Ovis aries: one gene and its partner. The protein of the gene in region 2 purifies or fractionates together with the protein of the main gene of each other region. This does not show direct contact. Links are inferred from orthologs where the notes say so. Each region holds a gene or a part of one and is shown on either strand. Other genes may lie near its edges. The genes, in order: SLC27A1 and PBXIP1.

The links.
Region 1: the proteins of PBXIP1 (region 2) and SLC27A1 purify together in Homo sapiens (co-immunoprecipitation; 3 studies listed by BioGRID and IntAct, with this or other methods). This does not show direct contact. The link is inferred for Ovis aries from reciprocal best matches to the Homo sapiens genes PBXIP1 and SLC27A1.

Annotation. Positions count from the first base shown.
Region 1 is NC_056058.1:5,389,182-5,392,983, reverse strand, and holds part of SLC27A1 (long-chain fatty acid transport protein 1), read left to right. Parts: intron 1-2,400; coding exon 2,401-2,795; intron 2,796-2,923; coding exon 2,924-3,085; intron 3,086-3,179; coding exon 3,180-3,249; intron 3,250-3,802. UniProt on the Homo sapiens protein: Mediates the import of long-chain fatty acids (LCFA) into the cell by facilitating their transport at the plasma membrane.
Region 2 is NC_056054.1:105,173,073-105,176,874, reverse strand, and holds part of PBXIP1 (pre-B-cell leukemia transcription factor-interacting protein 1), read left to right. Parts: coding exon 1-96; intron 97-327; coding exon 328-392; intron 393-470; coding exon 471-639; intron 640-2,101; coding exon 2,102-2,332; intron 2,333-2,456; coding exon 2,457-2,480; intron 2,481-2,821; coding exon 2,822-2,904; intron 2,905-3,182; coding exon 3,183-3,311; intron 3,312-3,802. UniProt on the Homo sapiens protein: Regulator of pre-B-cell leukemia transcription factors (BPXs) function. Inhibits the binding of PBX1-HOX complex to DNA and blocks the transcriptional activity of E2A-PBX1.

The DNA of each region.
Region 1 (3,802 bases), on a different chromosome or scaffold from region 2:
AGCAAGGAGACTGGAGTGAGTGAGTGAGGGGGAAATCTGTGGGGAGGATGGAGGGGGAGGAGGGTTGGGTCTCTCTAGGCCTGGCACACAGCAGGTGCTCCCCATCTGGGGATGAATGGAGTAGTCTGTGCTCCTGTGCTGGCTGCTGGAGAGGGCAGGCACACCAGGTCCTAAGTTCAGGCAAGAACAGCCATTCAGTTTCTGTTTACTGAGCATCTGCTACATGCTAGGCTGCTTGGCTGGAGCAGAGGTAACTTCCCTGGTTGCTCAGAACCCTGGGGAAAATGGACTCACAACAGGGTGGCTTCAGGGGTTTTGATGGGAGGCCGTGGGTAAAGGGGGTTGGGGAGGGCTCTTGGGGTGGACAAGAGAACATTCCCTGAGCCCAGCCAGCACGCAGTCTGGACTGGCCCCCTTTGGGGACATGATGGGGGAGCAGTGGGCACAGCACAGGGCCCGAGGCCTGGATGGCTCCCTGGGGGAGGAGGTGAAAGGAGTCACCAGAGAATGAGCAGGTGTGTAGGGCTGTGCTTAGCTCAGTGTGCTGGCAGCAGACGTGTGTGCAGATGCTCTGGCTGAGCCAAGTCACAGCGGCCACAGGATCCCGGTCCCTTCCCAGGGGCAGCTAGAGGGGCCCTCCAGGGACGCTCAGGATGTGCAGCTTGACCCAAACAGGAAGTCTCATAAATCTCTCAGAACCCTGACCTCTTGTTTTTAGAAACTGCCATGCAGGTGGCTGTGTGGATCCAACCTCTCCTCTAACAGACCTTCCTGACCACCCAAGACCTTGTCTTCCTCCATTCCCCAGGTCCAGTCCGACCCCAGGACCTTTGCACTGGCTTTGAACCTGGCTTTACACTCACACCACTGCTTTTCACTTCTGAGGCCCTGCACAGGCCTTACCTACCTGGCTATCTCCGGGGCCATCACTGCCTCCATTCTGACCCATGTCACTCTGACAGCCTTGTCATCATCTAGCACTTTCCTCATGCTCATTCATTTATGTAGAGGGGGTTTCTCTCCTGGGAAAACTATGAGCCTCGAAGGGTTGGATCTAGTCATCTCTGAGCCAAGAATGCCCAGTGTGCAGTAGGTGCTGGTACCAAGAAAAAAAGAAATCCTGAAACAAAGCCAATTAGATCTTCTAATTAAAATATAAATAAAGCCAATTAGATCTTCAAACTGAAAAAAAACAAAACACAGTAGGCCCTGATACACATCAGCTGCCTTCATGAATTAAGGACAGAGGGGATGAATGAATGGATGAAAACGCTGAGGTCTGTTGTGAATCTGTTGAGTCTGAGGAAGCCATTGCAGGGAATTAAGGAATCAGCACAGAGGAAGCAGTAGGGACACAAAGGATGGTTCTGATAACCAATTTGATGCTAAAACTGGTGGGACACAATAGCCAGATGAAGCCTAAAGAGGCAGCAGAGTCAAGACCACTTGTATTGGTCAGGGCAGAGGAAGCTGCTGTAACAAACAGGTCCTCACTCATCAGTGGCTTAACCCAGCACCAAGTTACCTCTCAGAGCCAGGGGCTCTGCATGGTGGGCCAGGGAGCCTGATAAAGCCAGGAGACCACTTGTTTCTTGAGCTCCTGCACTAGGAAATTTTGGCTTTCTCGGTTCATGATCTAAAAGCCATCACTTTTGCTTTAAACAATACAAACAAGTTCAAGTCTCACTCATCTCAAATGGCCTGGTGTCAGCGATGGCTGCTCATCCCAACAGGGTCATTCAGGAGGCTGGCTCCTTCTCCTGGAGTTCTCCTTTCCCCTCTGACCTCTGATTGCCTTGTATCTGCTGTCAGGTGGGGACAGAGGAACAGGACACCTGCCACTGGGGCCTCTCACTAGCCTGTCTCCTGGCCCCACCTGGGGCAGAGGCAGCTCCCCGCCTTAGGTGGGGGCACCCGAGCTGGATGGCCCAGTCACCTCAGCCTAGTGCCATTCAGTGACTCGGGAGTGGGGCAGCCACGCAGCTCAGGGATGGACCCCAGGGCTCAGCTGAGGCAGGCAGGGCATAAGGAGTCCAGGCTGGAGGCAGTGTGGAGTCAGCATGGGGTACTCTGGATCCCCGGTAAGGAGAAAGGAGGACTGGGCCCTGGCTCCTGAGGGTTACCGGGCAAGCTGTGATGCGGGAGGACAGGGTGAGTCTGATTAACACTGCATAGCCAGCTTTGAGAATCCGCCTCCTTCTGGGCTGGTTGAGAAATAGCCCTTTGCCCTTAGTCCTTCGAGAGACCCGGCACCCCAAGCATCCTCTTTGAACCCTCGCCGCCCTTAGGGAACTGGGGTCTCTTCCTCTGCCCTCTCCGTGTGGGGATGCCGAGGCTTGGGGAGGTATCCTGGGGTGAGTGGGGCACCTAGTGACACCGGCTCCTCATCCCCCCTGCCAGCGGCCTCTCCGTGCTGATACGCGTGCGCCTGGAGCTGCGGCGGCACCAGCGCGCGCGCCACACCATCCCGCAGATCTTCCAGGCGGTGGTTCAGCGGCAGCCCGAGCGCCTGGCGCTAGTGGACGCGGGCAGCGGTGCGTGCTGGACCTTCGCGCAGCTGGATGCCTACTCCAACGCTGTGGCCAACTTGTTCCGCCGGCTGGGCTTCGCGCCGGGCGACGTGGTGGCCATCTTCATGGAGGGCCGGCCTGAGTTTGTGGGGCTTTGGCTGGGCCTGGCCAAGGCAGGTGTGGAGGCCGCGCTGCTCAACGTGAACCTGCGACGGGAGCCCCTGGCTTTCTGCCTGGGCACCTCGGGCGCCAAAGCCCTGGTCTTCGGAGGGGAGCTGGCGGCGGGTGAGGCCGGGTGTGGGTAGCATCTTGTCGGTGGGGGCCTGGGGCTGGTCAGGGCAGGGAGACAGTGCTTCCCCGGCCCTGGGAGGGGCACCTGTCCATCTTCAACCACGACATGTTTCGCGCCGCAGCGGTGGCGGAGGTGAGCGGGCAGTTGGGCAAGAGCCTGGTCAAGTTCTGTTCTGGAGACGTGGGGCCTGATGGCGTCTTACCGGACACCCAACTCCTGGATCCGCTGCTGAAGGAGACCTCCACAGCCCCCCTGGCGCAGCCCCCTGGCAAGGGCATGGATGGTGAGTTCAGGTGGGATCCCCCTGCCTGTGCCTATCCTGTCCCCTCGTCCCACCCAGCCCAGCCTCTGGTCCCCAACACCCGTGTCTCTCTCAGATCGACTCTTCTACATTTACACGTCGGGGACCACGGGGCTGCCCAAGGCTGCCATCATCGTGCACAGCAGGTGAGGGGCTCGTGGGTGTTGCCCACCCTGCTTCTGCCACCCCCCACCCCCACCCGCACTGGAGAGCCACTCCAGGTCGTCTCTAAGGCTTGATCCTCCTGCCTCCCTCCCCACCCCAACCACCCCCTGGCCCCCCCACCCCCCAGCTCTTGTTGAGGATATTGTGGGCATCTTGAACTCAACTGGGTAAAACCCACAGCCCATCTCAGGACCCAGTGCTGTCCTCTGCCCCTCCTCAGCCTCCGCCTGCCCCCAACAGCCCTCCTCTCCTCCACGACCGGAGGACAACCAACTCATGCCAAACCGCCCTGTTCTTACCTTGACCCTTGGATAAAAAGCCTCATTCGTGTTGTGCGCCAGCTGCCGCTTCTCTGATGCCATTTTCCTCCTCTGCCTCTTTGCTCGCTCTGTCCTCAATTCCTCCAACCTGCCAGGCTGCTTCTGACCTCAGGACCTTTGCATATGCTCTGCACTTCACCTGCTTGCCCTTCCCTAGCTCTCCCCACAGCTCCTTCTTACCAGGTCTCAGTCACCTCCCCAGCGAGGATACCCC
Region 2 (3,802 bases):
CTGGGAGGGACCCAGAATCCGAGAGAGCTCCTCAGGCCCCTCGAAGCCCCTCCAAGGCAGCTGCTGAGGACTTGGCTGGGACCTTGGATGGAGGAGGTAACAGGGCCCTGTTGAGGGGGGCGGTGCAGCCACCTGTCCTCCATGTTCTGGGGTTTCCCAGTTTCCTCAGGGAGAGGAAGGCCAGTTGGTCTTATTCCCAGCATTGATCTCAGTTTAAAACCCTCCCTTATCCCATCCTGGCTTTCTCCTGTCCCTTCCTACCTGGTCGCGGCCTGTGGGAGCCACGGGGGCCGTGGTGTTTTTTCTGACTCTTTTTTCCTGCCACAGAGACAGTATCCCAGAGCGAGAGCTCCCAATCTGGGCCCATCCTGTCAGAGCAGGCTGAGGCCAAGGTGAGGACCTTCCCTGGGGGAAGGGCGGGAAGTGGGGAGGGCCAGGGAAGTGGGAGGTGCTCACGGCTGTGTCTGCAGCAGGGTGTCCTGGAAGGTGATGACCCTGGAGGGGAGCCCCCCGGCCCAGGAGACACAGAGGCCCAGGGAGACTTGGAGGAGACCCCTGAGGTGGTAGGCCTGGAACCGGACTCACAGGACCTGGAGGATCAGAGCCCCTCCCGCAGCCTGCCTTCATCCCCCAAAACAGGTGAGAGTCCTGCTTGTTTCGCCTGTCACTATCCTTCTAGAAGGTGTTGGAGTGGGAATAGATAGACATCACTGCCGAGCACAGCTCTGGTCTAGGCCTTAGGCCTTGGCAGCTTGGAGCCTTCCTTAAGCTGTATCAGTGAATCCTCACCACCGTCACCCCTGGGAACACTCAGGCTTAAGTCACACAGCTGATAAGTGGCAGGGCCTAGGTCTGGTCAACTCTTCTCTGCTGTGGGGCCTCCTCTTTACTTGCCTCTAGATTTGCCTCTCATTCCCTGAGTCCCTTCCACGAGTCAGCTCTGGGAAAGCAGCTTGGCTTCACGGCCTGTGTAGGAGGTGGACTAGACTGAGGCAAGGTGCAAGTCGGACTTGTGAGGGTGCAAAGGCAGTGTGATTAAGGTGTCCCCACGGGAAGGGAGGAGGGTGGGTTAGTCAGGGGACAGGTCGAGGGGGAGGGGGAGGCAGGGACAGCTGGGGAAAAGGTTCACAACGGAGGGGACATTGGAGTGGAACCTTGAGCAGAGTGGACTTTTGGTAGGTAGGGTAGGAGGAAGACAACGCTGCAGGCCAGGGCTGCAGCATCCACAAAGGGCTGGGTTCCCCGGTCCTGCACCGAGGAGGCTGCGTCCCAGGCTGGCGGCAGGAGGAGTGTGTGAATCCATCTCTGTTGAGGGGTGACAGGGTGGAGGGGGAGGCGGGGTCCGGGGCCATTCGGGGGCAGCTGCAGTCCGACGAAGCTGGGGAAGACCTGGACTAAGGTAGATACAAGGCATGTGCCGCTGAGATCTTTAGGGGCCATGTTGTTGATCTGTGCATGGGAGGCAAAGGGAGGGCTGAGGTTGGCTCGTGGAGCCCTGGCGTCTTGCCCTGCATCGGGGAGTGCCAGGAGAGAACCAGGAGAGAACCAGGTTGGAGGGCAGCGTGTGGAGTGTTTGGTCCCCAGGGACAGCCAGGTGGAAGAGACCAGGAGGTGGTCAGACATGCAGGCCTGGAGCTCTAGGGAGGCCAGTCGGGAGTTACAGATGAGGGACTCAGTCTGCTCTGGGGGGAGCCGGCAGGGTGGGTGAGACTGGGCGATTGTGCGTGCAGTGAGAAGAGCAGAAATGGTGCCAGGGAGACCTCAGCCTCTAGGACCAGGAGCAGCCAGGCACTGAGAGGAGACGCTGAGAGGGTGTGGCCAGGTTTCCGACAGAACCAGGGCAGGGGGCACAGGTGGGAGCAGGAGGACGCTTTTAGGATGAAAGTCGCTCTTGTATCTTGTCTGTAGTAGAAAGGACTGGTCTTCAGCCTCCAGACTGGGCAGGGGTAGTCACTGATGCCCAGGCACATGTGGGAGGGTCTCCATGCGCTCCCTCTGTGATCAGGACTGGGGGTCTCCTGTGTTTTCCTCTGGTTCTGGTCTGTCTGTCCATCCCGTCTCTCCAGTTGCCTTACTGCCCTGTCCCCCTCCCTCCCCCCAGCTTGGATCAGGGAGGAGGCCCACCACTCCAGCAGCGAGGACGACACCGATGTGGATGTGGCGGGTCTGCGGAGACGGCGGGGCCGGGAGCCCGGCACTCCTCAGCCCGCAGCCACCCTGGGTGTGGAGGACCAGGTCCAGGGCAAGGGTGCGGGCGGGGCGCTGGGCATCTCCCTCAACATGTGTCTCCTCGGGTCCCTGGTCCTGCTGGGCCTTGGGATCCTCCTCTTCGGTGAGTGGTTCCCCCCCCCCCCGCCGGCACCTTGAGCCTCTGCTGTGGCCCCTCTTGCAGCACTCCGACCCCATTCTGCCCCTGCCCCTGCGGGCCTGACCAGACTCCTCTGTCTCCATTTCAGGTGGTCTCTCAGAGTCTGAGAGTGGTGAGTGAGGATGGGGCCTGACCCATTTGTGTCTGTCCCCTTCCAGCCCTGAGGGAGGCTGATGGGGGCAGTTCTCTGGGTCAGGAGTAGGGATCCTGGGGGCTATATATTTTTTGCTCAGTTATAGGCCTTATGTCAGCTCTTTGGGGTGACCGTTGACCTTTTACCTTGCTGGACCCCTCAGCCATAGGGCGAGGTCCAGGGCAGGACAGTGACTGTGTGTGTTGGCAGGGCGGGGTGTTGGCAGGGTGGGGGAGGGGGGCGGGGGGTGTTGCAGGACGGGGAGGAGGAGAGGGCTCTGTGTGCCTTGAGACCAGCTTCAGGATTCCACTTTCCCACAGGGCCCCTGGAGGAAGTGGACCTGCAGGTCTTGCCAGATATGGAGTCTGATACTGAGATGCTGGAGGCTGTGGGGGATGGGCAGGCATGTGTGACTGTCTCCATCTGAGTGAGGGGCCTGGTGGGGGCTGTCGGGGTTGTGGGGCTCAGCTGGGGTGACTGGCTCCTTTGCCCGCGTGTGTGTGTGTGTGCGTGTGTGTGTGTGTGTGTGTGTCTGTCTGTCTGTCTGTGTGTGTGTGTCTGGGTCTGTGTGTCTGGGTCTGTGTGTCTGGGTCTGTGTGTCTGGGTCTGTGTGCCTGTGTGTGTGTTTGAGTGTGTGTCTGCAGGCAGATTCTTTACTGACTGAGCTACCTTTGCCCTTAGGATGGACTACAGCAGCTACAGACCTCAGAGCTCCTGGACAGTGTCCCCAGCCTGCAGAACATGGCCCTTCTGCTGGATAAGCTGGCCAAGGAGAACCAGGACATCCGACTACTGCAGGCCCAGCTGCAGGTGAGCACAATCAGGATGGGGTGGGCTAGACACCCTCCCTAGGCCGCGTGTCTGTCTGTCCAGTTTCTTCCACCCAAAGAAGTTTCCTGTGTTCACGCACATATACTGACCCTCTCCCTTTCCCACTAGAGTCCAGTCGTCTTCCATGTTTTGTTCCTGTCCTGCATGCTAAGGGTTAGGCCAGGATTGCGTATCTGCTTCACGTGGCATGCCACCTCTGCTTGATTGGCATGGTCTACCTGGAGCCTTGTGTGGAGAAGGATTTGAAGAACAGGCCAAGACTCAGTGGGAAAGAAGTGCTGTGATTAGTTAATAATATCTGTTCTGGGTATAGGAGGTTGAAATAGGGCAATGAGAGTCCTATCTTGGCTCTCTTTAGGTGAATTAAAGATGTTGTGGGCTTATAAACAGACAGAGCTAAGACCTGTGGTAGAATTTGGGGATCCCAGGGTCAGGTGAAGGGTGCGGATGGGGTGGGAGATGAGAACCAA